Linked DNA regions of Mus musculus. The protein of the gene in region 5 interacts with the protein of the main gene of each other region in a biochemical or structural test. Links are inferred from orthologs where the notes say so. Each region holds a gene or a part of one and is shown on either strand. Other genes may lie near its edges.

Region 1 (4,154 bases), about 17 Mb from region 5:
CTTGAGGGGGGGGGGCACTGCAGCTCTAATAGGCCAGGCCCTGAGTTCAACTCCCCAGAATTCAAAAACAAACAAAAAACCCTGTGCAACTTGGTATCTATTTCAAACTAAGTTTTTGATTGTTTGTTTGTTTTGGGTTTTTAAAGACAGGGTTTCTCTGTGTAGCCCTAGCTGTCCTGGAACTCACTCTGTAGACCACGCTGGCCTAGAACTCAGAAATCCGCCTGCCTCTGCCTCCCAAGTGCTGGGATTAAAGGCGTGTGCCACCACGCCCAGTTCTAAGTTAAGTTTCAGCTTCAAAACTCTCAGACACCCCCAAGCCCCATCTCTACCCTCCCTACCTCACTATCCACAACAAAATCAGAATTCTTTTCTTGACCACGATTCCCTGAGAAGGGCATTTTTTTTCCTTTTTGAGTTCCCTGCAGGACCTTAATGTATAGCCTAAATTGAGATTCATCAACCCAGGCTGTCCCCCATCTGCAAATGGCAGGCTTTGAAATCTCATGCGAGCTGCCCCTCTTCCCAGCTCCCGCAGGCAGGCACAGCACTCCCGCACTTGGGTGTCTGACTAAGTGGTACAGACTCAGCCCACTTCTTGTCACGTTACATTTAACTGTCAGTCTCACTGGCACCCACAAGTTCCAAATGCACAAAAGGCTTTGTAATTATTCTGGTTACAGCATCTCAGCACAATCCAATGCTGACACCAACAATCAGTCAGCAAACGTCTGCCGATGACCTTGAGACAGGGTCTCCAGCTGCAATGGTTGATCAATCTGAATTTTTGACCCCCCCCACCTCGAAGGCAGGAAGATGGATGTTCACCACCACACCTATCCCTAGGTAGCACAGGAGAATAAAGCTATTGTCTCCCGAATGCCAGGAAGCACTTTATCAGCTGAGCCATATCCACAGCCCTGGATTCTGCCTCAGAGAAACCACTTGTTTTCATTCAGAAGAGAATGGTGTCCTGTAGCTCATATGGGAGGATGGCTATGCTACTGTTACTCAAGACCCTAAAGTAGCAAAGGTCTATGGGAATGATAGAAAAATCAAGGAACTGTATACACAAGAGTACTGAGGAGAAGAGCCACTAGCTCCAACCCTGGGCCTGACAGAACAGAGATCTGGCAAGCTGTTGGCATCCTCATGGCGACCGGTAGATAGCAGGGTCAACTCAGACACATAATACTCAATGTGTTATCAGGATCCATTTCTGGTCCTGGGGTTTTGAGGAAAATGAACCGAAAGGACTCACTACTCAACAAGACTTTTATGTTCACACACAGTCTGCTGTTTTAGAATCTGCTTTTCTCTACAAGTCTCCCCACCTCCAAACTAGCAACTCCAGCAACTGCTGCAATCACATGCCTGCAACCCAGCCACTTGGGAAGCCGAGTCTGAGGCTAGCCTAGGCTATTACAATAAGATGCCATTTCAATACACAAACATGAAAATAAAGGACCTTGTTGAGAATCGTCCACCATACTTTGTAGCACACCTCTGTTTAAAACAATCTCCCCCAAAGCTGCTTCGTATTCAAGACACAAACTGTCACAGAAGATTCGACTGTTCAACAATTCTCATTCTATCGTGTGATGGAGAAAGGTTGAGGGGAAAGCACAAATCACAGGATGCCAGGAGAACATCCAGACTAGCAATCCCTCCACCTTACTTCCCCAGACATCCAGAACAGAGCCCCAGATAGATATTCAACATGTCTGGGAGGGAGAGATGGGTCACTATCGCCTGCAGTGACTTACTCTCCATCTGTCCACAGGAACATGTGTGTCCACGCCAGACAAAAACCTGCAGTGGTGAAAACTGATCCTTCGGCAACAGGAAAAGCTCATGCTATCACGACTAATGTAGAACAGACTGGTGTTACAAACTCATTATCTAACTGTCTCCGCTTTCCGAGTGCTAGGATTGACAGCCCAGAGTAACCTATCACCAAGAAAACCACTTATCCATTAAGAACTCAAGAGAGAAACGAGAACTTTCTATTGTCAAAGCCAGAACTCTCGCCATCATCCACCATACAGTGGGCTCATCAGAAAAAAACGCGGGAAATAGGTGAGATGGATACATTTGTCAGGCCAGCCGTGGTGGCGCACGCCTTTAATCCCCGTACTCTGGAGGTAAAGGCTGGTGGATCTCGGCCAGCTAGGATCACGTGACAAGACGCTCTCAAAATCCAAACCTAAACCAACCCCTCTCAATTCCAATCACCTACCCCGCTAATAGCCGGGCTAGTAAAGTCGCTCTCACTACAGAGCAGGGACTCCCAGGTCCCCAGAGCCTCTACTCCTACAAGCCTTGGGTCCCGCCCCTCCCGGAAGCGCGGCGAGCGCCAGCCTGTGCACGCGAGCGCCGCACACCACGGAGCCGGAGATCCTCATTTACCCGGGGGGAAGCTGGGTTGGGGACCAAGGTATCGTTGACAGGGAGTGACAGTGGGTGACGGCGGCAACAGGGAAGGCTTGGGGTGGAGACAGGGGCCCTTTCATCTGCGACCCAAGTCGGATCCCCTAAAGCAATGCTCGGAGATCCAAGCCCCAACTCTGGGTCAGGGTCTGGAGGGCCGCACCGGCCGCTCTGAGGCGGCAAGCTTGTAGGCCGGCCGGTGAGCCGAGCTCACGGCCACATCCCCCGGCCCCGAGCGGCCGCGGTCCCCGCCCGCCGCGCCTAGAGCCCCCGACTCCTGCCCGCACCGTGGTCCTTACCTGGCTTCATTACTGCGTTCTGGTCGCGCGATTCAGGCAACCTGCGGCGTCCCCGACTCCACGAGTCTCAGGCTTTCGCACGTGGAAAGGAGCGCCTGCGCGCGGTGACGCACGGCGAGTGACGGAAGCGCGTAACCACGCCCCTTAGACGCGCGTCCCGTCTCCCGGAAGTCGGAGTCGGCCCCTTGGGTGGGAGTTCTGAATCCTTTTCCGGCTCTGTCGTGTCTCTACGCTCCTCACTTTTTCCTAGAGTGGCAAATTTTATCACAAGTGCGCTGCGACTTTTCCTCTCACTTATGCTAGCACTCCAGGAATCAGGGGTTATACCGATTTTTAAAAATTTATTATTTTTCAAAGACTTTAAATTTTTAAAATTTTATCCTTAGAAGTGTTTAGCTTGCATATTCGTCTGTCTGTGCACCACGCATACGCCATGGAAGTCAGGAGAAGGCGTCAGATCCCCTGGAACTAGAGTTACCGGCAATTAATTGTGAGCCGCCAAATAGGTGCTGAGACCCGAACCTGAGTCTTCATCAAGAGCATTATGTTCTCTTCACAGCTGAGCTATCTCTCCAGCACAGCCTTATGTTTCTGTTTGTTGTTGAGGTTTGTATTTTATGACAGGGTTTTGCAGTGGGGTCCAGGCTGAGCTGGAACTCGGGATCTCCTATGGTACACTTCGCTTTTCTATTTCTCCTTCCTTTTCCTTTTCCGCTCAAAGAGCTCCCTCCTTTACAGCGAAGAACAGGCATCTCACTGCTTCTGCTCTCTACCCCTGGCCTCTTACTGGAAATCTTCACTCACCCAAATGTTGTCGCAGCTGCTCCCAGGCCACTGCTGGTTTGCAGTTGTTTCTGCCTCTGTTCCTCCTCTTCAGGTCATGAATTCAGCCCACCCTACTGATAAAGATCACATCAGTCGAGCAACAACTGTTGCAGAAGGCCCAGTGTTAATGTTGCACCACCAGGAGGCAGCACAGGAGCGACCGGTCTCCAGAAGAAGCGTCCTAATAGCCAGAACTTACAGCCTTCCGTGCAACTGAAAGATCATTTGCACTAACCGCTGACTTTTTGTTGGGTTACCAGGGGAAATGGTTTCCCTCTGGCCTTGGTGAAGTGGCTGCCAAGGATTATAGAGGCTTCTGATGGCAAAAAGTCCATGTTAAACTCTTGGGGATAGTCAGGGCCAGGATAGTGCCTCCTAGAGCAGGAGTTGTCTTTTAGCATTAAGTGGTGGTCCATGCAGTATAGCTTCCTGGAGGTGTCTGTGGAGCATTCAAGAGCTGCCAGGCTGCCATGACAGTAGACCAGCTGGCTGCCAAGAGGGGTTTGCTTGGATGGTAGTCATTCAAGGCAGCCAAGTGCCAGGGAAGGGCTGGATGGTTGCCAGGGTGACAAATCACCCTAGCATCCAGCACTGGTTTTT
Region 2 (3,952 bases), on a different chromosome or scaffold from region 5:
AAATAGGGCCCTCCAGGACCCAACCGCAGGAAAGGGGAAAGAAAAAATGGGGAAGGTTGCTCTTGAAGAGAAGGCAGTAAGAAAGGACTTGGAGTTCCCTGGAGCTTTGAGCCACCTCTCAAAGGAATAGTGGTAGCAGCATTCAGACTGTCGTGTGGTTCCCAAAAGGAAGGACTGGGTCCAAAAGACCTACCCCCATTGGATACTCTTTGGGTCCCAAAATTCCATTGCAAATCATCCCTAAATTATTCACTATCCACCCATACAAAGCAGCACAGAGCAAAGCAAAGGTTTTGTGCAGGTCCTCTCCATCTTAGCCCCAAAGTCTTTGCGCGCCTGCCTTACATCCCACCCTCCAAAAAATGTTTAGACAGATTCCGGGCTGGGAAGCAAGCTCTTCAGGCCCCCAAGGGTAGACTCAGAAACGAGACACGGCTTCAAGAGACTGCTTAGAACAGAAGGGACAGGAGAGGCCTTTCAGTCTGCCCCTGATCTCAGCCGAAAAACAAAAGAGAAGATTAGGCAATGTAGTATTATTTAAGATCAGGCTTGAATGCCCCTGAGTAAGAGAGGGACCAGGCATACAGGCATCCCAGCTGGGACGGTAACCCAGAGCAGACCCTGACCCCTCTCATTCACAGTTGCTAACCTTGCTCCCTTCCACCACCTCCTGGGGGGATCAGCCAAGAATCCCCTTTTACCTTGGCTAGGCCAATCCCCAACCCATTCCCCTAGGCAAACACTGGCTCACAGATGCAATCAAGAACAGTTCTCTCCAAAGGCACCTGGGGAGGCCACTTCCAAGCAGCTCCCTTTAAAGAATTGTTTTTCTTTTTCTTTTTTTTTTAAAAAAAATCTTTTGGTTTTTTTCCTCTTTTCTTAAAAAAAAAAAAAAAAAACATGTATAAATAGCTCTTCATTTTAAAAATACAGTTCCCCAGGTTGAGGTATACGGTGGCCTGTTGTCAGGGCAGCATGAGAACAGTAGAGTGCCAGGGTCGGGTGGCTCCTATCTAGCTGGAGACGGCCATCACATAGTTCTTCGAGGGGCTGCTCCTGCCCAGCATCATCTGGTTCTTGCAGGTGAGGAGCCCATAGGAGGCAGCCACCGGGGCCTCCTCATACAGGACACAGATGGAGCCATCCTCCCCGATGCGGTAAGACACTTCATAGGGATCAACCCACAGGGTCAGCTCACTGGGCAGCAGCCGGTGCAGCTGGGGCTGGCTGAGTCCAATCTGGCTGGCCACCTTGCTGATGATGGGGTCCATCTTGTGGTTGATACGGATACAGCGATAGCCAGAACCTTTGGATGGTTTTTCTGGAAACCAGTGGTGTTTGTAATGATCTGTGGAAAAAAACAAGAGGAAGATGCGCCGTTAGAAAGCATTCTCTGATGTTTACCACAAGGGGAGGATGAGGGGAGAGGGCTGGGGAGGAGACTTCCTCTTCTCAGCGACAGTATTTAAGAGCCTCTCCTTAAACTCCCCCTGCCACTTAGAAAGATTCCTGGGTCCTTTCCAAGTTTTTGTACACTGGAAAGCAGCCCCAGAGCTTTCAGGTAGATGCTCTATGGTGGTCATGGATATTTTTGGCACAATCCTGTTTAAGGCAGGAAGGGCTAGCAAGAACCGGCAGGGCCTCTGACGACCAAGGCACTGAAATTTCAAAGCCGGTAGGTAAGCGGCCAATGTTGTTGGTTGCCCAACAAGTCACAAGGCCTCTCATCCCTTCCGCATCAGAAGAGTTTTGAGATCTTTAGCAAAGGTAAGGGGATAAAAAATGGTTTTGTTTTGATGAAACAGCTGTTGGTCCTCAGATCTGTGCCAACATGTTGAGAGATGGCTATCGCAGCCCAAGGCAACCAACCAGTTATAACAGCTGCGGACAGAGGCTAAAGGGTGGCTTATCACTCCTCCACCTCCGTCCCTCACACCCTGCCTCCATAACACACACACCCCCTCCCCGCCCTCGCAGTTGGCTAGGCTACCAGGCTCTTTTCTGTACTACAATAGGTGGCAGATGGTGAAGAGGGACCAAAAAAGAAAAAATACAAAGGGGGCCCAGATTACAACTTGCAGCGGGTAAACACGCGGCAGAATGGGCCTGTATGATGACAGGCTCAGGACTATACAGCAACAGTGGCTAGGACTCAAGAGTTGTCTAGAAAGTTCAATTGCGCATAAAAGTCGCACAGCTTGGCCTGGCTTCACATCCCCTGAGGGTCTGTTGTTCTCCAAGATTCGGAGATAAGGGTGAGCTCGGACTCTGAATACACACACACACTGACTTTTCTCATGGTGTTGTCAGGGTCTCAGAATGTACTCAAGGAAGAGGGTCGGAGCCTCGGGAGCGAGGCGGGGACTGGAGGGCTGGGAGACGGGGACTTAACCGAAGGGACAGAGGACCATCAGTGGCCTCAGAGATTAATTAGAGAAAGACATCTGAGACCCGGAGTTGTTCGCGTAGGGGTCCCCGTCACAGAACAGTGATAAAGACACCCCAGGCAAGAAGTGGCCGCGCCCGAGTGGTTCCAAGACCCCGACGTGTGCTCACCGGTCAGTGCGTCCTGGAGCGCCCTACTGAAAACCTTGAGTCTCTGCTCGCTCACGCAGCCCCGAGTCCTCAGGAGACTGGAGAGGAAACCCACGGCGGCGGCGATCTCCGGGAGCATGTCGGTTCTCTTCCCGTGGCTCATACCGGTGGCTGAGGAAGTAGCTGTATTAGAACGATGATGACGGTCTGGCCACCTCTCGGGCTCTGCCCGGACTTTCCCCGGGCTGCGCCTTTCATACCACTCGGGGAGGCGGGGAGCCGTCGGTGGCGCCCATTGGCCGACGCTGGCGGATGGGGGCGTGCCCCTCCGGTGTCTCGCCTCTCCCCTCCGCCTGCGCCCGCCCCTCTCCGCCCCGCCCGCCAGCTCGCCCGCGCCTCCCAGGCGCTGAGGTCATCGCTCACTGACGTCATTATTGGGAACAAGCACCGGACTCCCGTGCTGTGGGAGGCAGGCGGGAGAGGGCCTTGGACCTGGGCAGAGGAAGCGCGCTACACCGGGCATGCCCGGACGTCGTCTCTGCACAGCGCCAAAACCCAGGTTGCCTGCTGCCTCCTCCAGGATGCCCTCGCCGATGTTATTTCTCCCATGTCTCCTGACAGACACTGACAGAGCCGTTCACCCCCCTACCTGAACATCTCTGCCACTCATCCCCCCAGCTGATCAAAACGGGTTCCTCGTGTTTTCAGCAATGGGGATTGTATTCTTTTTGCTTCCATAATAATTCCACCTCCCCCAACAAATTCTGCTCTTCCTCTTCTGTAATTGCCTAAAAGTAATCAGCTCTCACTGTTTGGTGGGAGGAGTGTCGAGGAGAGTATTTTCTGTCCGTAGGGTTATTTTTCCAGCACTCACTTTCCTTTAAATGGCAGTGTCTGTGTGTGTGTGTGTGTGTGTGTGTGTGTGTGTGTGTGTGTGTGTGTGTGTGTGTGTGTTTAAGTAATCTGGTGTGAATTGTACAAAGTTTTCCATCAGTTCCCTGCCCCTCCCTCTTCCCTGATTGTTTTCCTTCCTTTTTGTGCACTGAGGCTTTTGTAAACACTAGCTCCCCAGAGGAAAGGCTTCAGGTCTGGCTTGTCTACACGCAGGGGCTCAGGGACTGGTGCCAGGAAGCTAGGCAGACTACTGAGTGGGGCAACTTGTCACCCACATCTCTGAGCCCTGCACAGGATGGGGCCTGAATTTAGCGCCATGGCTTGTGTAAAATCCTGTTTTCCCTGAGTTCTAAGCCAGGCTTCTCTCCCTGTATCCCTGGTCTGAGCCACCAGCTTCCCTACCTGGATCCTCTGTATCCACCCTACCCCATTTCCCTCTTCCCTTTTCTCTCCACTGTCTGTTTTGCTGCTTGTTTTTCTTCAGTGGACTTCCCATCAATACTTCTGTCCCTTTTCCCACATG
Region 3 (4,248 bases), about 83 Mb from region 5:
CTCTGCCTCCCAGAGTGCTGGATAAAGTTGTGTGTGCCACCACTCCTGGCCCTAACTACATTTTAAATGTGCTGATATGGAAAGAAAAATGTTTTGCCCTTGTGAGGTAAAAATGGCACCACCTCTGTGAATCACAGATTGTCAGCCAACTTCAAGAATTCCCAAGCAGACCATTTCCTTCCTATCCGTCATTCTAAACTGGTTCTCTCTTTAGCAAACTTGCTTTTTCACAAAAATAGTAAGCAGGAAGAAAATAGTCCAATATAAAATCAATTACAAATCAGTATTTTTGTTTTAAAAGAATGACTACAAAACTTTAGGGAAAATGTGGGAATTTCGGTATTGTTCAGGTTTAAGAAAAGTTAACATTCATAAAGAAATGAAGATGTGTTCTACTAAGAACTCACTGTTTTGGGTCTGTCCATAAGAAGAACCATAGCTGCTCTGGCCGTATCCTGAAGTGTCAGCTGACTGGCCATAACCACTGTAACTCTGTTGGCCATAGGGCTGACTGCTCTGTTGGGAGTAGCCCTGCCCAGGCTGGGTAGGATAGGCCCCGTAGCTACAAGAAAACAGACCAGTAATCTTCAACTAAAAGAATAAGAACAAAAGCATACAGAAATACATAAAACTCAAGTTAGATCAATCACCCTTGCTGTCTTCTAGCATCAGACCAGAAACAGTATACTCACCTTTGAGTTGCTTGTTGGGTATAGTCTGTAAAAGATGGGAAAGAAAAAGGTCTTAATTTTAGTTAAGAATAGAAATAAATTCTTCAACTTTTGTACTAGGCACTCCAGATGAAACAAATCTACAAAAACAGGCATAAGTTAGTTCCTCATGAGACAAAATGGCCAAGTTTTATTACAAAAAGCAAAGAAAGCACAAATTTCTAGACACCAATAAGTCTTAGACTTTTGTTCTGGGTAGAACCCAGGGCTTGCTTGGGACCCACTAAACAAGCGACCACTAAGCATGACAGCCACAGAGCTCTGTGGGTGGACTGGTTCTCTATCTAGAGGCAGGGTTTCTCTGCATAGAACTCACTCTGTAGACCGGGATGGCCTCCAATTTAATACATACAAAGCTCCATCTGCCTCTGCCTCCCAAATGCTGGGATTAAAGATGCCCCACATCGGACCGGGCGTGGTGGCGCACGCCTTTAATCCCAGCACTTGGGAGGCAGAGGCAGATGGATTTCTGAGTTCGAGGTCAGCCTGATCTACAGAGTGAGTTTCAGGACAGCCAGGGCTACACAGAGAAACCCTGTCTCGAAAAAAAACAACAACAACAAAAAAAAAAAATCCAACATCATGTCCTTTTTGCCTTTTTTCTTTTTTGAGACAGAAGTCTCGATTATGTATCTATCCCAGAATTCAATATGTAGACCACCTCGAACTCACATAGATCTGCCTACTTCTACCTCTTAGTCCTGAAACTAAAGGTGTGTGCCACCAAACCTGGCTCAATCTTTAAAAAAAAAAAAAAAAAAAAAAAAAAACTCAAAATACAGATCATCCCTTAAGTTTAAAAATCCTTTTGACTTGTTGCAGGTCTTTCCAAGGCCTGCAACACACGTCACCACATTTTATATCTTCACAGCAGCTCTGTATACAGGAAAGGTGGTATCACCGGATGTCAAGATTAACTTTGACAGTCAGCGCTATTACACAGTTGAGTTCAAGCCCAAGGAAGCAGCTAGAAGAATGGGACTCTCCAACCCCCAAATGGCATGGTGCTCCCAAGGTTCCCGACGTGTGGCTCCAAATAACTGAGCTCCCGCCTACCATGCGCACCCAAAGCAGACAGCACTTTCAACAATCTGGGAAGCTGTAGCTCAGCAGCTCCCTGCAGGAAACCCAAGCTCTACCCCCGCACTGGGACAAAACTGACAGCGAGAGGGTGTGGCCTCGGAGAGCGACTCCTCTGATTTCCTTCCGGCCTTAGGAAAACTCAACTCTGAAGTGGGAAACTCAGGCCGGGGTCCCTGACTCCGTTGGTCATCCCCTGGCGGTCCTCCCAATCCCACGGACACGCAGGCCAGCCAGGAGCTTCCGCTCCCGCTGCGCGGCCACGGAGGCGGGAAGAGGTGGCCCCGCCCCTTCCCAAGGGACCCAGCGAGCAGGGCGAGGCCAGCACCGGACCACAAGTCTTCCGCCGAGGGTCTCGCGACAAAAAAAAAAAAAAAAAAAAAAAAAAGAAGAAGAAAGAAAGAAAGAAAGAAGAAGAAAGAAAAAAAGAAAAAAGTAAAAAAAACGGACCAACTCCTGGCGGGGGGGAGGGGGGCCGCGGCGAGAAGGGGGAGGGGCCAGAGGAGCGCGTGCGCGCACCAAGTGCCCGGATGCAGCACTGCGACAAAGCGAGGCCGGGAACGGAGGGAGGGGAGGGGGTGGGGCGAAGCTGCGGAGACCCAGAGCTCCCTCACCCCGGTCACCCCACGTCGCCAGGCAGCGTCTCTCTCAACACTCGACTCAAGTGACCGGGCCAGGAGAGAAAACCCACGGTCTCCGCGCCAAAGGCGCCAGGGGAGCCAAACAAAATGGCGACACCGCCCTCCCCTTCCCTCCACCCGCTGCTTCCCGCCAGAGGTGGGGGAGCCCACTCGCCCGCCACCGCAGGCCCAGCCGAAAGCCAAAAGCCTTGCTGCGAGGGAACGAGGCCTCGCAGGGACGCGCCGTCGCCGCCTCGCGCTCCCACATACCGTTTGAAGCCATGTCCGCGCACGCGCGCAGCGCAGGCCGCCAAGCAACAAAGTTCCAGACGACCGCGAAGCGATGCCGCGAGGACTGAGCGGCCCCGCCTCCCGCGCCCGCCTTAAGTACGCCTGCCGCCTACGCGCCACCGGGACGTACCAAGTGGAGAAGCGCGAGGGGGAGGCACGCCCAGGTCCCCACCCTTCCCCGGGGATACGGAGAGCTCAGGAAGACAAGAGGGAAAACGAACTCGCTTTATTCCCAAACACTCGCACGCGCTTTCTCCTTGCGGCCGGTGGCTCTCGTCCGTCGCCCGGGGCTCGCCTTCGACACACCTCTACCCCACTAGAGGCAGAATGGTACGACCCGGCCTCCCGCTAGGGGCGGTGCCAGGGCCCTGCGCCCGAGAGCGGAACTGTGTAGTCAAGGCCTGGAGTCTCCGGGTGTGGGAACCGAAATCCTTCCGACCGGCCCAGCGGCTGGGCCCCACTTTCACTGGGGAAGATGCAGCATACTTTCGCTTGCCCTGGCCTAGCAACTGAGTCGAACGCAGTGTCGCTCTGGTCCTCCACATTCTCTCCTGACAGACAGCACACTGATCAGTCTCGTTTTTCACTTAGGAATGCCTCGGCTTGCTGTTCTTTAGACCTTAACAAGGTTTATAGATTGTGACGTTTAACCTGGAAGAAGATGAGCTTTAGTCTGGACCCTATGGCCCTAAGGCTGGTTCAACAATAACACATATGTATACAACTTAAGAGGCTTCAAACCCACAATTACCCCCCCCCTTTTTTTTTTTAATTTGGCCTCTCAGTACCGCTCAGTTGATCTCGAATCCTTGATCCTATTTGCCTTAGCCCTGTGCATCCTGGAATTACAGTCGTCCTGGTTTTCCCCCATCATCATCTTGTAAAGAAATCTGAGGAATGTAGCTTAATGATAGAGCGATCGTTTAGCCTGTGCATGACCCTGCCTACCTCTCCAGTCCCGGAGCTAGGCAGAGGTGGAGGGGAGATGGATCTTATGAGAGCAGTGAGCGGCTAGACTAAGAATGTGAATGAGGTACGAGGCAGTTCAGGGTCAGACCTTCTGATCTTTAAAGTCTAAGCCTGGGGAACTACAAAATGCTTCTTGGTTACAGGAAATGATTGAAAGCATTTAAAGGCATGAACACTTTTTGTCAGTTCAAGGACAAAACGAAATTCAAGGGGGTTGGAGAGACAGCTGCTCTAGAGAAACCACAGGTTCAATTCCTAGTACCCGAATGTGGGCAAACAACCAACTGTAATTCCAATACCAGGGACTCTGGGATCACAGAGATCAGGTAATTCATTTTGCAATGAGTAGGTTAGGATGGGTCTGAGGGAATGACATTTCTACTGGGAGTTTACCAAGTGGATAAGAACAAAAATGACGGGTTGGAGAGAGGGCTCAGCGATTAAGAGCACTGACTGCTCTTCCGAAGGTCCTGAGTTCAAATCCCAGCAACCACATGGTGGCTCACAACCATCCATAACGAGATCCAGAAGAGGAGAGGGGTCACCCTCTTCTGGAG
Region 4 (3,968 bases), on a different chromosome or scaffold from region 5:
AAATTCATGTACATTTGAAAAAAGAAATCTTGTTACAAAATTCTAACATCAACTTGGTCTCAAAAGTTCGAAGTATAGTAGCTTACAATACCAAGTAGAGTATGTTGCGAAAGAAAGAAAGAAAGAAAGAAAGAAAGAAAGAAAGAAAGAAAGAAAGAAAGAGAGAGAGAGAGAGAGAGAGAGAGAGAGAGCACTGTAGCTGTGTACATGCATGTATACATGTGCAAGTGTGCCTTTGAGTCCAGAAGCCAGAGGGAAACCCTGAGTGTTCACCTCTGAACAGCCCACCTTACTTTCTGAGACAGTGTCTCTCTCTGGAACTGGGGCTCGTGGATTCAGGCAAGAATCTCAGATCCTCACGTTTTCAAGACAAACGTTTTCTGATTGATCTATCTCCCCAGCCCCACACTGTGCTGTCATTACATAAATATATGTATATAAATGCATAGCGTTAATCATAAGAAAAATAAAGGGCCCTTCTGCTAACTTCATTCGGTTTTTTTGAGATTGCTGGAAATTTCAGTAACAAGACCTGGGGGTTCAAGCTCATAGAAGATCACTTGCGCAAAATAAATAAAACCCTGGGTTCATTATAACAAAAAATATTTTTATTTTAACAAGGCTAAAAAGTAACATTTCGGTGCACACCTTTAATCTCAGCATTTGGAAGACAAATCTAGGAATATCTCTGTGGGTTAGGGGAAAGATTGGTCTACAAAGTCCCAGAACAGCACAGAGAAAGCCTTTCTCAAAAACAAAACAAAACAAAACAACCAATCAAACAAACCAACAACACTCTAACAGTAGTAACTGGTACACTTCCAAAGGCTAGTATATCTTCACTTGGTTAAAAAAAAAAAAGTAAATAGTAAAAAAATTTTATTTGATCTTTCTCAATTCCTTCCCTTCCCATTTTCCTAAATACACTTAAGAGAAACTCAATACAAAATATACTGTATGGTGCATTTCCATTTTAAAAGGAGTCCTAAATTTACTGAGGTATCCATCTTCATTAATGATTTTCTGAATCTCAACCAATGTCTCAAATTAACTTCACAGATAAAGGTAAACATTACCTAGCTGTACCAGCGAAAGCCTCAAATGTGAAGCCAGAGGTGGAACGGACAGTTTTCTCAAGTAAGAACTAGGCAATAATGCCCACATGAACATCTGCCTACCTCGTGGTCAAACTACCCTCTAATCTCAATACCCCTTCTTGCCAATCTTAGGGATATAAACTTAATACGGGAAAACCGGGCGTTCATTTGGTGAGAGCTTGGCTGCAAAAGCCTTGACGCAGCTCAGGTGACAGCCACGAAGTCTGAAGCAGCCTCCCACGCAGACAGTACACCCAGCGGAGGGCTGACCCCTTCTGATTAAGCAGAAAGGGTAACTTTGAGCATTCCGCTTGCAAAGGCTAAAGCCGCTTCTAGAAAAAACAGTATTCAATCAATCACAAATAACAAGTCCCACATACACTATTTGTTCCACCTGCAATCGATGTCAGCTAACACCTAGAGGCTACCATATGAGGATGGAGAAAAGAGCTAAGGCGCAGAGGAGCCGGAACCTCAAGCCCACCCCAACTCACCCTGGGCTCAAGTCTGCCTTCCGGGGGCTCCCACACGTAAGGGTACCCAGGCCTCCCAGGATTTCGAGGCCCAGAATCTGGGATCCCTGAAGGTTTCAGCAGTGCATCGCCTACAGAGCTGAGTCCCGCAGAGGCCGGGAGGGAAGATGAAGGATGCAGCCAGCTGCAGATGTGAGAATCCCAGCTGCGCAACTCTCAGGCTGTCAGTCCCAGCTCCTCCACGAAACCAGGAATGTCAGGAGGGTGACCCCGGAAGAGTCATACTATGCCTTTTTGCCCATCAAGAACCTCCAGCTCGGCCCACCCGTAACGGATGGATAGGGACGACCCCCAGCCCCGGAGAGAGGGTGATTCCCAACCCCTCGTGGATTGGGACCCAGGGAGAATGACCAAAGGCCCTCTGTCCACCAAGATTCACGGCTCTGCTCACTGTCCCCCATCTGGGATGAGCCCACCGAGAGTGAAACCCTGACCCTTCCACTGAGATAGGGTGACCAGGGAAAATGACCACCCAGGAGGATGGCCCTGGAGGGTCATGATCCCTCAAAAGTGGCTCCCTAGAGTGATCCCTGGAAACGTGACCCCGAGAGGATTATTATCTTCAAGGGTGGCCCCTGAAAGGATGACCCCGGGTCCTGCGCCCATAAGGACTCCCAGCTCTGATCCGCCCACGCGTCCGGGATCGGTCCCCGCGACTGGAGCTAGCGGCTGCAGGGGTGACCTCGGTGCCCACGGCGTACCTGGCGGCTGCGGGCCCCCAGGGCTGTCTGGCTGCTGTGCGCCGGACGCCGCGAGGCTCTTGCGCTCCTTCTGCGACTCCCTGCGGCCGCCTGCGCCAGGCCTGTGTCCTGAGGCCACAGCCGGGCTCCTGCCGCCACGGTGCCCGGCCCCGCTGGCCGCCGCCGCCGCCTCATCGCGACGCTTGCGCTGCAGCTGCTGCTGGCGCCGGTGCTCGGCCTCCCGCAGGATGTCGAACGGGTCCGACTCGTCGTCCAGCAGCTGATGGAAGCGGTTGGCCACGACGCAGCCGAACGTCTCCTGCATCGCGGCGCCCGCGGCGGCTACAGGGCTCCCCAGGGCCCCCTTCATGACGCCGCCGCTGCGGGCGCCGCGGGCAGCCCAGGCCAGTGAGGTTCAGCGAAGCCGCGGGCGAGGACCCATGCTGCTGCTGCTGCTGCCGCCGCCGCCGCCGCCGCCGCCGCACTCTCGGCCCCGCGGTCGGCTCCTCCCGGCCTGCGCGCCCCAGCCAATGAGCGCTGGTGGACACGCCCTTCGGCCCCGGGGCGCACGAAGACCCAATGGGAGACCGGTGTCTGTGACGTCACGCCCCACTTTATCCCCTCCCACTCTATAGCCTGTGGGCGTGGTGGTATGGGGCTTGGGCGGAGCTACCACCAGAAACTCAGGGAGGCTGCAAGCCTTCTCTCGCCGGTGTGCGCCAGTGGGGAGCCTGGTTGCACACCGCCACACTTCACCAAAATGACCTAGTCAAGAGCCTTTAAGGGCTTGCGTGTCTGGGGGAGAGCTGTAAACTGAGGGAAAGTGCCTAGAGGAGAGGCAGCGTCCTCAGCTGGGTGCTGACCCATTCAAGAAGCCTGGAGAGACTTGCGTTTCAAGAGGTGTGACAGGAACAAGAGACCAAAACAACCCATTCAAGTGCAAAGAAACAACCCCAGACCCACTGTGATGTTGTGATGAGTGCGGGAGCGGACAGGGTGAGGTTTAGATAGCGGTTGTTTTTCTTTTGAGACATTCAGTTAAGGCCTGGCTTCTGGGGAATGAAACTCCAAATTAGATGTCATGCTTGCTGGCGAGTGCCTTTGCTCTCTGAGCCATCACTCTCCTGAAAATTAATTTTGTAAGTTAGCATTCAAAGTAATGGTTCTTATGGTATGTTTGTGTGTTTATATGTGTGTGTATATATACATGTTTATGTCATTACACTTTGTTCAAAACTGTCTCCACATTGCCCTTCTCCATGATGCCATCCCTGCCTGCTGGTTCCCTCCCTATCACAAGCAGTTTTACTTCATAGAACATATGTTTTACTTCATAGAACATGTGAAAGGAATAATTAAATACAGGTGTTAAAAAAGGTCTGAGTTTTACTGTTGTCCAACTTCTCTGTGCAAAGAAATCAAAAGTGATTTTTGTCTCAAATTGTAATTTCCTGGGCTTGCCATTCAGGGACCTCAGGGGTTCTCAGTAAATTGTCAGATGGCTAGAGATTTTAAGATAGGTGGCCACTTCTTTCTTTGAATTAAAGATTAGAGCCTGTATTTTTCTAGCCAAAATTGGAAATAGGTATTCAGATGAAAACTCGTATTATTCTCAGAGGTGCTATTCACAATAGCCGGGAGGAAGAAGCAGTCCAAAT
Region 5 (3,500 bases):
CAAAGAATCTCAGGAAGAGCTGGGCGTGGTGGCGCACGCCTTTAATCCCAGCACTTGGGAGGCAGAGGCAGGCAGATTTCTGAGTTCCAGGTTCCAGGCCAGCCTGGTCTACAGTGAGTTCCAGGGCAGCCAGGGCTACACAGAGAAACCCTGTCTTGAAAAACCAAAACCAAAACCAAAACAACAAAAGAATCTCAGGAAGGTCTGGGAATCCAGCCATGATGGAGCCAGGAATCCTACCTAGCTTGAGGTCCACATCCCTAGAGCAGAAATGGACAGTCCTCAGGGAGTGATAGGCAAAACAGTAGAACTACCCCAGCCCCAGGGCGAGAAGTGGCATGGTCAGCTGAGGATTTATTGGCATAAACGCAACCATATAAAAACATAAGTTATGAAAAACACAGTCACGATGTACCCCCCCATCCCCCAAGCCCATCCCCCCGAGCCCCCTTCTGCAGGAGGGCCAGCCTGGCACCTCCTCAGCGCATCCGGTAGTCGGTGGAACAAGAGAGCTCACACAGCTGACCCTTGAAGTCCAGGTCGATGGTAAAGTCCAAGTCACGCTGCAGGGAAAAGAGGGAAACAGAGCTCAGGTGGGAGACAGAGCCATCAGCCAAGGGCCAGGCAAGAGTGTTGGCAACGTCTGCCAGCCAGCACACTGCACACCCTGCACCCTGACCTACTGACAGCACTATCGGCCATATGCACCCCATGCTCCCCAGCCACAGTCTAAGTTTCTGCCACCGAGGGAACCAGCACCAGCAGCGCTGGAGTGCCAGCACCACTTCAGGGCCCCTGCAAGCATCCTGAAGCCCCCTCCACCCATGGATCAAGAGGGCCAGGGTTAGGTGTTCCTAGCATCACACTGCGCTCTGGCACTTGCCACTCTAACCTGTAACAGGAGCCAGGTGATTTCAGTGCCCACAGGAAGGGTGCTGAACAAGGTTATCACTGAACCCAGCAGCCACATGGGGCTTCCTCGGGTACCCGCTATGCTACCCAAGCTGGCACTGTTCAACTCTACCCAGAACCTGACTTTTCTGCACACCCTCCGTATCATGTTTACTCTCCATCAGGCCTCACATTGTTTTTGGCATTGGGCCTCATTCCAATGGTGCCAAAGATCTCCTCGCCAGTCTTCACTGTTAGGTAGTCCTCCATGTAGAACACAGTCTGCTTCCAGTGTGTGTACGGGGACTCAGGACCTGAAAGGTGGGCATGGTCAGTTCCAGACTTTGCCTGGGTGTCGCCATGCTAAACCTGCCATTGCACCCCCCACAAGGTCACCACCAGCAAGGCTTTGAGGGCTAGTGATCCTGCATCTTGCCTGTGTTTCCTGAGTTACACAGGGATCAGACTCAGTCACTCAATGACTGACAGCAGAGCCTGGTGGAACAGTTCTTCAGTGTCCAGCACTCCCCCTTGTTCTTAACAGGACTAGTGGTAGAACCCAGAACCAGAATACCATAGGCACCCGACCACTGGGCCATGCCCCACCCTCCCAGAGTGACTCAAGGCTCTCTATGGCCCCATTTCAACTCTTCCTTTTTGAGGGTTACCACTAACTTTCTTCAACTTTAGAGCTTTCTGCCCTGTTCCCGAGTAGCTCTATGGCTGTGATAAGCCTCAGGCATGCCCGACGCTGCTCATCACACAGAAACCTCACTGATGATCTCGGCCCCCGCCCAGCCCCACACAGCGCTCACTGGTGGAGAAGCCGGTCCTCTTGTGGCATCGGGTGAACTCGATGTTGAAGTAAGCCACCAGCGCGTGCACGTAGTCGTTCCTCTTCACTTGCAGGCAGAAGGGGGAGGTGAAGGTCAGGTCCTCCACCTTGACTGTGTAGATGTCCACCTCCTGCCAAATGGGTGAGCCCAGTCAGTGCTCAGAGCCCACCCTGCACGAGAACTGCTGCCTGTTAGGCCCCTTCCCATCACAGTAAAACAGCCCCCCCGCCTTCTGAAACGGGGTCTCATGTATCCTGGGCTGGCCCTCAAAACATTTTTCCTTTTAAAAAAAAAAAAACATATTTATTTCATGTATGAGTACACTGTAGCTGTCTTCACACACACCAGAAGAGGGCACCAGATCCCATTACAGATGCTTGTGAGCCACCATGTGGTTGCTGGGAATTGAAGCCATCTCTCAGCACAGGGCATGGCCCTGAAAACTCTGATGTGTGGCCCAACTGCTCTCCCTACAGTTCTAATGGACTGGTCAGGGACTGGGACCCCTGCTATTGCTGCCCAGTTACCTTTATGAGGCAGGCATTGGTGACCAGCTGCTTTGGGTCCACCACGTCCACCAGGGGCTCCTTGATGGCCACGTCTTTAATGCAGGACATATCAAAGCCATACACGTTCTCCCACCCTGGGTACAGACAGGGTCAGATGAGCTGTGGAATCCAGGCCCTGCCCTCGCCACCCATCCTGCCCTCACCACCCACTACAACCCCAGCTCACAGTGGATCTTGTAGTCTTTATATTGTCGGTCCTCAATGGCTGTCACATACAAGGTGGCCCGGTCTGGGAAGATGAGGCCATCGGGTGCCTGAAGGGAGTTGGGTAAAAGCAAGGACCTAGCTGAGTGGTCCAATTGTCCAGCCCACCATCACTTTCCAGAGACCCCTTAGCCACCCAGGCCTCATCCTTTAGTCTGGTCCCTACTCAACAGCCACAGTGCACCCAGAGCCCTGGCAGTTCCATAATTCCTAGGAGCATGGAAACACCCCAGAAGGAGACACCTCCATTTTGTACAGTATCCTCCTGATCCCTTCCCCTTCCCCCCAGTACGCGCTCTCCTGGCGTAAGGACTCTGCACTGGCCTTCTTCAAGTCAGTTCCTCTGCCATTCCTTTGGTCCCTTCTCCCTGGGAAGGCCTCATCCACAGAAACACTTGGTGGCACCCTATTTGCTGCTCTAACTCCTTAGCCTGGGGCGCCCATCCAAGGCGTATGGCTCACCAGCCACTTGTCCCGAGCGTGCAGCACGGTGTTGAGCATGGACTCGTAGAAGAGGCAGTAACCCATCCACTCGCTGATGATGATGTCCACCTTCTCCACGGGCAGCTCCACCTCCTCCACCTTGCCCTTGATGATGGTCACCACTGCACCCACAGGAATGGCATGCCAGTCACGGGGAGGGCTGGCCCAGATGGTTCCAGACACCCACAGAGGACTCTGGTCCAAGGGCAGGCACCCTGTCTCTCTTTTCAAACTGTCTCACTATGTAGTCCTGGAACTTGCTATGTAGACCAGGCTGGCCACAAACCCAGAGATCTGCCTGCCTCTGTCCCCCAGCACTGGGGATAAAAGGTTAAAACACCAGGTCCGTCCTAAAGCACAAGGGTAGCACAGCAACAGTTTCAGGTTCTGTCTGCGGGTCTAGGAGTAGCTCTGCTGCGAGCCCAAGTTTAACATTCTCCAGGTCTGGGTTTGTTTCCTCCCCTAGCAGTGCTCAGGTGAAATACATTTTTCTATTCAGTAAGTGAAGCAGTAAGTA
Region 6 (4,300 bases), on a different chromosome or scaffold from region 5:
TGCTAGGACTGCAGTTTGTCAGAGACCTAATATAAGATGCTTCTTAGTTTGTTTTTGGGGGACAGGGTGGCCTGTCCTAGGTGGCCTGTAGCTGTGCTGTGTATGTAGGCCAGACTTGTCTCAAACATGAGGTAATTCTGTGGCTTTTCCTCCTCAGCGCTAGGATGCATAACCACCTCATCCCCTTAGTATGGCTGGACATGAAGGCCTCTATGTGCAAGTAGAGGTCAGAAAACTTGGGAGAGCTGGTTCTCTCCTATTTTGGGCCTGGGGCTAGAACTCAGGTTGATAATAGTCCCCTCCACCCCCAACGAAATAAGCTAATTCAAGAATAATTTTTTTTAAAAAGGCATATCTATTTGGAAATGGGTTCCCGGGTGAGTCCACCAGCCTCAGAGGTCGGGGGCAGAGTATGGCTGGTACTTTTTTGATAGATTGTAGGCGAAGAAAATGACAAGTCTACCACAAGCTGGGCTTGTGCCCAGGTATGGTCATCTAGGGTGGGGCTTGGGTGGCTGGTGACTAAAGATGAGGATTAGTACAGTCAGGAATTCAGGACTGGATTTTTTGGCGCCTTTTTGTGTTCTGAGGCTTTCTGAGTAGGCGGGGTTGGAAGGAGAGAGAGAGAGAAAATTTGGAATTTACCGGGGATGAGTGGGTGGGGAACAAGCCAACAAGCCGGGGACTCCAAAAACAGGTGATAAGCAGCATTACCAGTTGACCCGACCCCAAATGCATCTTTTAATAATTCTCTCACTAGTTTTGAACCTGCTCTAATGGAAATCTTGCCGACTGACTTCCTGGATGCCCTACTTGGGTATGGAGGGAGCCCTTTTCTTCCGGTCTTTGCGTCTCTGACTGACCCCTTCGACTCCTTCTGAGTTTCAGTTCTGCAACACACAGCATTCCCCATTCCTGGCTTCCCTTTCGCACACTCATCACTTATCTCTGGGTCAGCCTCCTCCCTCCCACCACGCCCGCCCGCATCCCCATCTTCCCATCCCGTTCGCTCGCGCAGTCTTTCCCTCTCTTCCGGCTTCACTTGGCTCTAACCCTCGCGTCCCCCTCTCTCCAGAAGCGTTCTTTTCATTTCCCGGTTGGAGGGGCGGCCCCCGATTCCACTCCGGGGCACCGCTCCCTCGGGGACCTCCCCAGGCTCGGCCGTTGAAGGAGGCGTGGCGCACGAATAACAGGTCTCCTGCCGCACACTCCGCGGGCCCGAGCGCAGACAAAGACATTCCACGGCGCCCGCCCCCTCCGCGCACTCCGCCCGGGGGAGGGGGAGGGGAGACACGTGTACCGCTAGCGCCGGGTCACGTGGAAAAGAAAAAGAAATGAAGGAAGGCGGCGGGCGCCCGCGCAGGCGCCCTAAGCTCGGAGCCCAAGCGGGGAGGCGACGTCTTCAGTCGGCGCAGGCGCCGTGGTCCAACTGGGGACTTTGTTCTCCGCGGAGAAACTCAAGGGCGGTGCCGGTAGGCGCCTGCGCACGCGCGCCGCCTCATTTCCGGTGCTCTCTCGCTGGGTCGCTCGGGTCGGCTTCGGTCGCTGTCGCTCCTGTTCTTCCACCCCCGCCAACCGCCGCTCGGGCCTCAGCTGCCGCCGCGTCGCTTCCTCGCTCGTTCGCTCGCCACCCATCATCCCCGATGCAGCGCCGGGACGATCCTGCCTCGCGCCTCACCCGGTCCTCGGGCCGCAGCTGCTCCAAGGACCCGTCAGGTGCCCACCCCTCGGTGCGTCTGACCCCGTCTCGGCCGTCGCCGCTTCCTCACCGGCCCCGGGGAGGGGGAGGTGGGCCCAGAGGAGGCGCTCGGGCCTCGCCCGCCACCCAGCCGCCGCCGCTGCTGCCTCCCTCCACCCCTGGTCCCGACGCGACGGTGGTGGGTTCCGCGCCGACCCCGCTGCTGCCCCCGTCAGCCACAGCCGCGGTCAAGATGGAGCCGGAGAATAAGTACCTGCCTGAACTCATGGCCGAGAAGGACTCGCTCGACCCGTCCTTCACTCACGCCATGCAGCTGCTGTCCGTAGGTAAGCGGTTCTTGGCGGGTCCTCTGGGTCTCCCGGTCCTGACTGTGGGTGGCCGCCGCTTTGTTCTTGCTCCCACCCCCTCGGAGCCCGGGCATCGAGAGTTGTCATCTCGACCTGGCCTTCGAGATTCTGCACCCACAGTCCCACCCGGGCTCAGGGTGTAAGGGAAGATTTCTGAGCCACGGACGAGGCCCGAAGAGGACTCGCGATCTCAGAGCGCGGAGAGCTTGATGGATAGTACCGTGCTCCCGCCCCCTTCTCCTCCCGTAGTAGTTGCCCCGCGCGCCAAGGGCCGGCTCTTAACAGAAATGAACCTATTTCTCCCCGCTTTCCCAAAGAGGAAACATTTGGGGGGGGGAATCGCGGGTGATGGAGACCTGGGGTGTAAGGTAGAGATAGCCGGAATGCCGGTCCCGCACAGCGCATCTACGGAGCGGGGCGGGATTTAGCGGGAACTCGGGTTTAAGTTCATTAGAGGTCGGGGCGACGAGAGAATCCGTGAGCTTGAGGTTTTCTCAAGCCAAGCTTTCCATTTCGGCCTGTCGAGTAAGAATTGCTGCAGACCCGGATGGTTTCTCTGTTTTATTTTGAAATGTGTTTCTGAAGTTATGCAAAAGTGTGTGTGTGTGTGGGGGGGGGGTTGTGATAGCCCAGGAGACCGTAGAAAGAAATGATAGAGGGAGGTAAGGGGCGGCAGGCAGGTTCTTTTGCGTGAGATGAACGAGAAATTGGTCTTTTTGTTTTAGTTTTTGCTGGAGTAGAGATAGTTTAAGAATGGTAGTCTTTGTTCTCTGATTGTAGACTATGGAGCTCTCTTCTCCGGACTTGAGCGACTTAGATATTTTTCCTTATTCAAACCGCCGCCTGTTGTTAGACATGGTTTTAGTATTTTTTATGATATCGAATTTTTTTTTTTTTTTGATTTTGGTTTTTCGATACAGGGTTTCTGTATAGCCCTGGCTGTCTTGGAACTCACTTTGTAGACCAGGCTGGCCTCGAACTCAGAAATTCGCCTGCCTCTGCCTCCCGAGTGCTGGGATTAAAGGCGTGCGCCACCACTGCCCGGCTGATATCTAATTTTTATTAAGCATCTAATACCCACAGTCTGTCCTACTGGTTGAATAGTTGGACTGTTGAGGGGCTGATGGAACCTTGTCACCAGACAAAAACTGGGAAGGTTGAGCGGATTCAGAAACCCTACTCTGAACCTGGAACACTTGACCAAGACACCCCATGAGTCAGTCACACGGGGTGTTAAACCCCCCCCCCAACACCTGAAGGCCCTCCCTCCACATGCAGATGTAGCATCCCTAACTTCTCCGACCAAGCCAATAGAAAGCATCTGCTTTTAGATCCCACCCCACCCCAAAATGTATATTAGACCCTAGCCACAAGGAATAAAGGTTATTTCATCAAAGACTGCCTGAGAGCTTCAGAATTCTCCCCCCTCTCCTTTGGAGAGCAATGCTCCAGAGCCCCCAGATCTCCTCTGATAGCGTCCAGTACACAGAGCATTGCACTCTGGCCAGAACGATATCGTGGACAGTTCATTGTGAAAGAGCACTATCTAATGGAGAGACAAATCAGCCTTTAAGAGCACTGTCTGCTCTTCCACAGGGGTTCAGTTCCCAGCACCCACATCAGAAGGCTTTCAGACACCTGTAACTTCAGTACTGGGGGATCCTGTTTTTGTTTTCTTTGGTGGTTTTTTTTTTTTTTTTTTTTTTTTTTTGGTTTCTCTGTATAGCCCTGGCTGTCCTGGAACTCACTTTGTAGACCAGGCTGGCCTCGAACTCAGAAATCCGCCTGCCTCTGCCTCCCAAGTGCTGGGATTAAAGGCGTGCACCACCACGCCCGGCTGTTTTCTTTGTTTTTTTTTGTTGTTGTTGTTTTTTCGAGACAGGGTTTCTCTGTATAGACCTGGCTGTCCTGGAACTCATTTTGTTGACCAGGCTGGCCTCTGCCTCCCAAGTGCTGTGATTAAAGGCATGCACCACCACCACCGGCCTGATGTTATCTTATGTCCTACACAGGTACTCAAAATACAAAGCTGAAAAGAAATAAAAGGAATATACCATTTTCCCTTCATCTGCTCTCTGTTTCCCAGCATTGTTGAAGGGGATTTACCGTTTGTATAATGCAAAAAGGTCACGGATCTACAATGACTTAAAGACCTGCTTTTCTTTCCAGTCAAATATGAAAACAGCAAATAAGGGCCTTTGAAGCACAGTAAACAAAACCTGTGGTCAGTGAATAGAAACATCAACTCTGTGCA
Region 7 (4,130 bases), on a different chromosome or scaffold from region 5:
ACTTTCCTGCTCTACATTTTTTTGTTCACTAACGAAACGTTATACAAGGTAATTCTAGACTGCCCAGCAGACACTGAATTTTGAGGTCAGGAGAGTTCTAAAGAAATATGCAAGGATTAAGTGGAGACATGAACTTCACCCATTTCTTGGATAACACAGAAAAAAAGCTGGCTTTTCACCAAGGAGTGTCAATAGGTTGCACAAGTCTTTGTTTTTGATGTGGTTATTAAGAACAAAGACTTCTACTTCATTCCTCATCGCCAATTTAGGTTTTAACAGGCACAGCACTAATTTTTAACCAGTACCTCTTCCCCAACATACATGTACAAAGACCTGTAAATAGTATAGTATTAGGTCACTTTCCCAAGCTAACATTATAGTTGTTTCAATACTTAATTTACAAAAATACAAGTGTTGTTTAACTAAGTACTGGTGGATCCAAAACAGCAATAGTTGGGGGAGAAGAGCTAGAGGAAAAATTATGTTTTAAAATTAGCTATAAGATAGTCAATCCCAACCTACTCCTGTTCCTGTGGTTTAAAAATGCTATATGGTTTCTATTCCATGTATATGAATTTTTAAGAATTATACCATAAATATAAGCTGTAAGATTAGTTGTATAGATCACTGCACATTTTACAAGTTAGATGTAAATATAGTCATATTGAAAGATATGTAACTAGCCAGAAAAAAAAATCTTTTTAATCAGTCTTGCTTTTAACTTCCATTTCCCTCTTTGGAAATACTTTGAAATGTGTAACTAAGAAAAATTTAACCCCCTCATTAGTAACAATGAGCAACAGGTCAAAAGTAAATAATCTGGGCAAACCACTTAAGGGCACAGAATTAGTACATTTTAGTAGCAAACAAAGATGAATACCTAGAGTTATACAGTGAAAGTGAGTGGCCTTGTTTTGTGAACTCATAGAAAACCTAAGTACTTAAGGGAAGTGGGATGAGAAAGAAGTATTGGAAACCAAGGGAACACTACAGAACAAGTACAGGTTTCAACAAAGAAGTGCCCTTGACTACATTTTGAAAGCCAGCTACTTAAAAAAATAGCCAGAGAAATTTTACTGAAAAAAATAAACAATAAGTATTTATTGAGAATCTACTACTTGTCCAATCCTTCAGGAAATACAAAAGCAGTGTGACTTAGTTGCTGCTCTCAGGGAGCTTACAATCTAATGTGAGAAACAATTCAGACATTCTGAAGTTGGACTGGGATGGGTAAGGCTTACCACTTCTAACAGAGAAACTAATTTTCCTAGACCTGTGTCCCATTCCCCAACCACCTTCAATCTAATAGGAGTCTTCCCAGTTAGAAACACTGGGGAAAGCCAGTACATTTAGCCCTTCCTCACTATTTTACATGACAGCAGTATCTCCCATTCACAACAGAAACAATCACTGGGATGATCTATAATTAAAGACAGTGGTATAGGACCCACAACACAGTCTTATCAACAGATACACATCCAAATATTTTAATCTCTAATGCTGGTTGTCAAACTGACTCATACCCCCCTCCCAGCAAGACACAGCAGATATCCCCAACGCAGAATATGGGAGGTGGAGACAAAAAATAATCTCTCCATTTAGTAGTCAGTGAGTCAAAGGCAAAAACAAATTTAACAAAATCGCCTTTAACTGTTTTTTCTTTCCACAACAACCTACACCAGAGGTTGCTAAATTTTAAGAATCGTGGAAAACAGTCTCTTGTTTGTGACATCACTTTGCAAAACAATTTAGGGGCTGTCCACCAGGTGAAGGGTCTCAAGAAATTTGGAATTCCATTCCCATTATGAGAAAAATGAACAAATGCCCAGTCTAGTGACATCCCTTAGGCGCAACACAATCCACGGGGGCCTCCATGTCCAGCTTCCCAAATAAGATAACTGCTTGGGTAGCCAAAACTACAGTATAGACAACAGGAAGTCAAAGACTGCAGCGAAAATATATTCCACGACCAGGGTCGGTAAGAAAGAAGGCAGGGTAATAAGAGGAGCTGACAAAGAGGCTGGAAATGAACAGAGAGGACAGAAGCCCACGCGCGGAGGATGGGAGACTCACCCCCCTCCGCGCCACATCTAGAGCCCATGGGGCCATTCGCTTCTCTACCTCCCACCCGGAACAAATTAATCCTCCGCACTCCAAACCGAGGGCCACATGGGGGAGTTTGGGGCAGCTCCACCCCATCGCCACCCCCCCTCCGCCCCCAAAACCAGGCCGGATCCGGATCAGAGGCCCAGAGAGGACTGGGGAGGGAGGAGGCCTTCTCCACAAGACACTGACCCTCCTAAACAACCCTACCTCAGGCTGGGCCCAGGCCTCGCTCGCCCGCGCTCTTTCTCGCTCTCCCCCTTCAGGCTCTAGCCACATGCCCCCCCCCTCCGGCTGCCCCAAGCCCCGCCCCGGCCACGCTCCCAAATCGAGGCCCCGGCTCTGGCGCGGCCCAGTAGGCCGCGAACCCAACTATAAACAAAACCCCCGGCGGCCAATTCGAGGTGGGGAGGTTGGACGCCCGGGTTCCCAAGACCAGAAGGGAGGGTGTACAGTGGGGAGACACACGGCGTGGGGGGGGCCTACCGCGGGACAGGAATACGGAGGGGACAGAGGAAAAGAAGGGAGGGTAAAAAGGGGATCGCGGATTTAAAGGGGCCGCGGACAATACCCGGCCCCGCCGCGTTGCCGCTGCCGCCGCCGCCGCCGCCAACGCCGCTGCGCTCCCAACTTTACCTCAGTCTCCTCCACACTGACACCCCGGGCCGCGCCGCCCCTGTCACGTGATATAAGATTCCCTCCTCCCCACCCCCTCCCTCCTTTTCCCTCTCGCGCTCGCTCTCGCGCCTTCCCCCTCCCACTTGCCTTCCTGCGTCCCTCAGCACGTGACGCGAAAGGGCCGCGCACGTCAGCGTGCGCGCGCCTCCCCGCCACGAAACACTGCTCTTGAGTTCCGCGCGCCCGCCCCGCCCCCGCCCCGCCCCGCACGGATCCGCCTCCATCACGTGACTCCAGTAAGGTCTCGGCTTCCTCTTACTGGCGTAGTTCCGCGTCTCCGCACTCCCAGGTACCTTTGCGGACATAAGTCACGTGGCGGAGGGGGTGGGGGTGGGGAAATGGGACGGGAAGGTCCGATGCTTAACTAGCGCCCCCATCCACCATGTTTTCTGACGGACTCTAGCCTGGTTTTTTTTTTTTTTTTTTTTTTAATCGAAAACCATATGGAAATGTTCGGAGAGCTCCAGGGAACCTAGGTTCCCTGGCTTCGGCAGAGCCTGGGCTAACGCGCGAGCGCGGCGGGACTGTCCTAGCAGGTGTTCCCGGAGAGAGAGGCGATGGCGTCTAGTAGTAACTGGCTTTCTGGAGTGAATGTCGTGCTGGTGATGGCGTACGGGAGCCTGGTGAGATCCCCATTCTCTTCCTCTTGTGGCATTTGTCTGAGTCCCGACCCTCTGAGCCGGACTCCTGAAAAGAAGGCTCCTGAGCCGTTCTGTCTTTGTTCTTCAGCCACTTAACTTGTTTTGTTTCTGGACTTCCGAATTGTATCCGTAGACAGTCTGAGATCTTTAAGTCAAAGCTGCCTGGCTCTAAGTAAGAACCCTCCCTCTTAAATTCTAGAGCCCAGATTAACATGCCTCTCCGTTACTAGCCCCTGACCCACCTCCGTCCTTAGCGACCCGGCTTCGCCCCAAAGCATCCAGCTCTGAAGGCCTAAACCCAGGGATTTTGAAAGTGAACATTTTAAAAAATTATTGCTATTACTAAAATGGCTCTAATCTCTTTGGGCAGGTATTCGTACTGCTGTTTATTTTTGTGAAGAGACAAATCATGCGCTTTGCAATGAAATCTAGAAGGGGACCTCATGTTCCTGTAGGACACAATGCCCCCAAGGTAGGTCACTAGAATGCAAGGTAAACCTGTTCTTTGGCACAAGGAGATTTTTCTCGGACTTTAAAAGAAGACTTTTATTCATATGCTTCCTTTCATTCCACAGTCTAAGCAATAACTTCCTGCTCACTGCTGCTCCACAACATGTACCTTAAGATTTAAACCAATTCAGCTGTAAAATGTCTCATCTTCAACTAAAATTACTAAATATTTCATGTTGCTTTAGTTTAAGCATGATG

Evidence for each region.
Region 1: of the proteins of Prmt1 (region 5) and Fbl, one has a biochemical effect on the other in vitro, tested with the Homo sapiens proteins (2 studies listed by BioGRID). The link is inferred for Mus musculus from reciprocal best matches to the Homo sapiens genes PRMT1 and FBL.
Region 2: the proteins of Prmt1 (region 5) and Btg2 form a complex in vitro, tested with the Homo sapiens proteins (2 studies listed by BioGRID). The link is inferred for Mus musculus from reciprocal best matches to the Homo sapiens genes PRMT1 and BTG2.
Region 3: of the proteins of Prmt1 (region 5) and Fus, one has a biochemical effect on the other in vitro, tested with the Homo sapiens proteins (3 studies listed by BioGRID). The link is inferred for Mus musculus from reciprocal best matches to the Homo sapiens genes PRMT1 and FUS.
Region 4: the proteins of Prmt1 (region 5) and Habp4 form a complex in vitro, tested with the Homo sapiens proteins (2 studies listed by BioGRID, with this or other methods). The link is inferred for Mus musculus from reciprocal best matches to the Homo sapiens genes PRMT1 and HABP4.
Region 6: of the proteins of Prmt1 (region 5) and Khdrbs1, one has a biochemical effect on the other in vitro, tested with the Homo sapiens proteins (2 studies listed by BioGRID). The link is inferred for Mus musculus from reciprocal best matches to the Homo sapiens genes PRMT1 and KHDRBS1.
Region 7: of the proteins of Prmt1 (region 5) and Ubap2l, one has a biochemical effect on the other in vitro, tested with the Homo sapiens proteins (2 studies listed by BioGRID, with this or other methods). The link is inferred for Mus musculus from reciprocal best matches to the Homo sapiens genes PRMT1 and UBAP2L.

Annotation. Positions count from the first base shown.
Region 1 is NC_000073.6:28,168,394-28,172,547, reverse strand, and holds the start of Fbl (rRNA 2'-O-methyltransferase fibrillarin), read right to left. Parts: upstream 2,801-4,154; 5' UTR 2,740-2,800; coding exon 2,730-2,739; intron 1-2,729.
Region 2 is NC_000067.6:134,076,356-134,080,307, forward strand, and holds the start of Btg2 (protein BTG2), read right to left. Parts: upstream 2,801-3,952; 5' UTR 2,699-2,800; coding exon 2,557-2,698; intron 1,349-2,556; coding exon 1,014-1,348; 3' UTR 1-1,013. UniProt on the Homo sapiens protein: Anti-proliferative protein; the function is mediated by association with deadenylase subunits of the CCR4-NOT complex. Activates mRNA deadenylation in a CNOT6 and CNOT7-dependent manner. In vitro can inhibit deadenylase activity of CNOT7 and CNOT8.
Region 3 is NC_000073.6:127,966,031-127,970,278, reverse strand, and holds the start of Fus (RNA-binding protein FUS), read right to left. Parts: upstream 2,801-4,248; 5' UTR 2,715-2,800; coding exon 2,702-2,714; intron 718-2,701; coding exon 693-717; intron 563-692; coding exon 408-562; intron 1-407. UniProt on the Homo sapiens protein: DNA/RNA-binding protein that plays a role in various cellular processes such as transcription regulation, RNA splicing, RNA transport, DNA repair and damage response. Binds to ssRNA containing the consensus sequence 5'-AGGUAA-3'.
Region 4 is NC_000079.6:64,160,698-64,164,665, reverse strand, and holds the start of Habp4 (intracellular hyaluronan-binding protein 4), read right to left. Parts: upstream 2,801-3,968; 5' UTR 2,681-2,800; coding exon 2,332-2,680; intron 1-2,331. UniProt on the Homo sapiens protein: Ribosome-binding protein that promotes ribosome hibernation, a process during which ribosomes are stabilized in an inactive state and preserved from proteasomal degradation.
Region 5 is NC_000073.6:44,976,421-44,979,920, forward strand, and holds the end of Prmt1 (protein arginine N-methyltransferase 1), read right to left. Parts: intron 3,106-3,500; coding exon 2,963-3,105; intron 2,551-2,962; coding exon 2,463-2,550; intron 2,371-2,462; coding exon 2,255-2,370; intron 1,858-2,254; coding exon 1,707-1,857; intron 1,206-1,706; coding exon 1,084-1,205; intron 564-1,083; coding exon 480-563; 3' UTR 335-479; downstream 1-334. UniProt on the Homo sapiens protein: Arginine methyltransferase that methylates (mono and asymmetric dimethylation) the guanidino nitrogens of arginyl residues present in proteins such as ESR1, histone H2, H3 and H4, FMR1, ILF3, HNRNPA1, HNRNPD, NFATC2IP, SUPT5H, TAF15, EWS, HABP4, SERBP1, RBM15, FOXO1, CHTOP, MAP3K5/ASK1, MICU1 and NPRL2.
Region 6 is NC_000070.6:129,739,504-129,743,803, reverse strand, and holds the start of Khdrbs1 (KH domain-containing, RNA-binding, signal transduction-associated protein 1), read left to right. Parts: upstream 1-1,500; 5' UTR 1,501-1,643; coding exon 1,644-2,025; intron 2,026-4,300. UniProt on the Homo sapiens protein: Recruited and tyrosine phosphorylated by several receptor systems, for example the T-cell, leptin and insulin receptors. Once phosphorylated, functions as an adapter protein in signal transduction cascades by binding to SH2 and SH3 domain-containing proteins.
Region 7 is NC_000069.6:90,049,716-90,053,845, forward strand, and holds the start of Ubap2l (ubiquitin-associated protein 2-like), read right to left. Parts: upstream 2,801-4,130; 5' UTR 2,740-2,800; exon of another isoform or gene 2,314-2,739; intron 1,979-2,313; exon of another isoform or gene 1,921-1,978; intron 1-1,920. Other genes in the region: 4933434E20Rik (protein C1orf43 homolog), read left to right, coding at 3,339-3,404, 3,793-3,894. UniProt on the Homo sapiens protein: Recruits the ubiquitination machinery to RNA polymerase II for polyubiquitination, removal and degradation, when the transcription-coupled nucleotide excision repair (TC-NER) machinery fails to resolve DNA damage.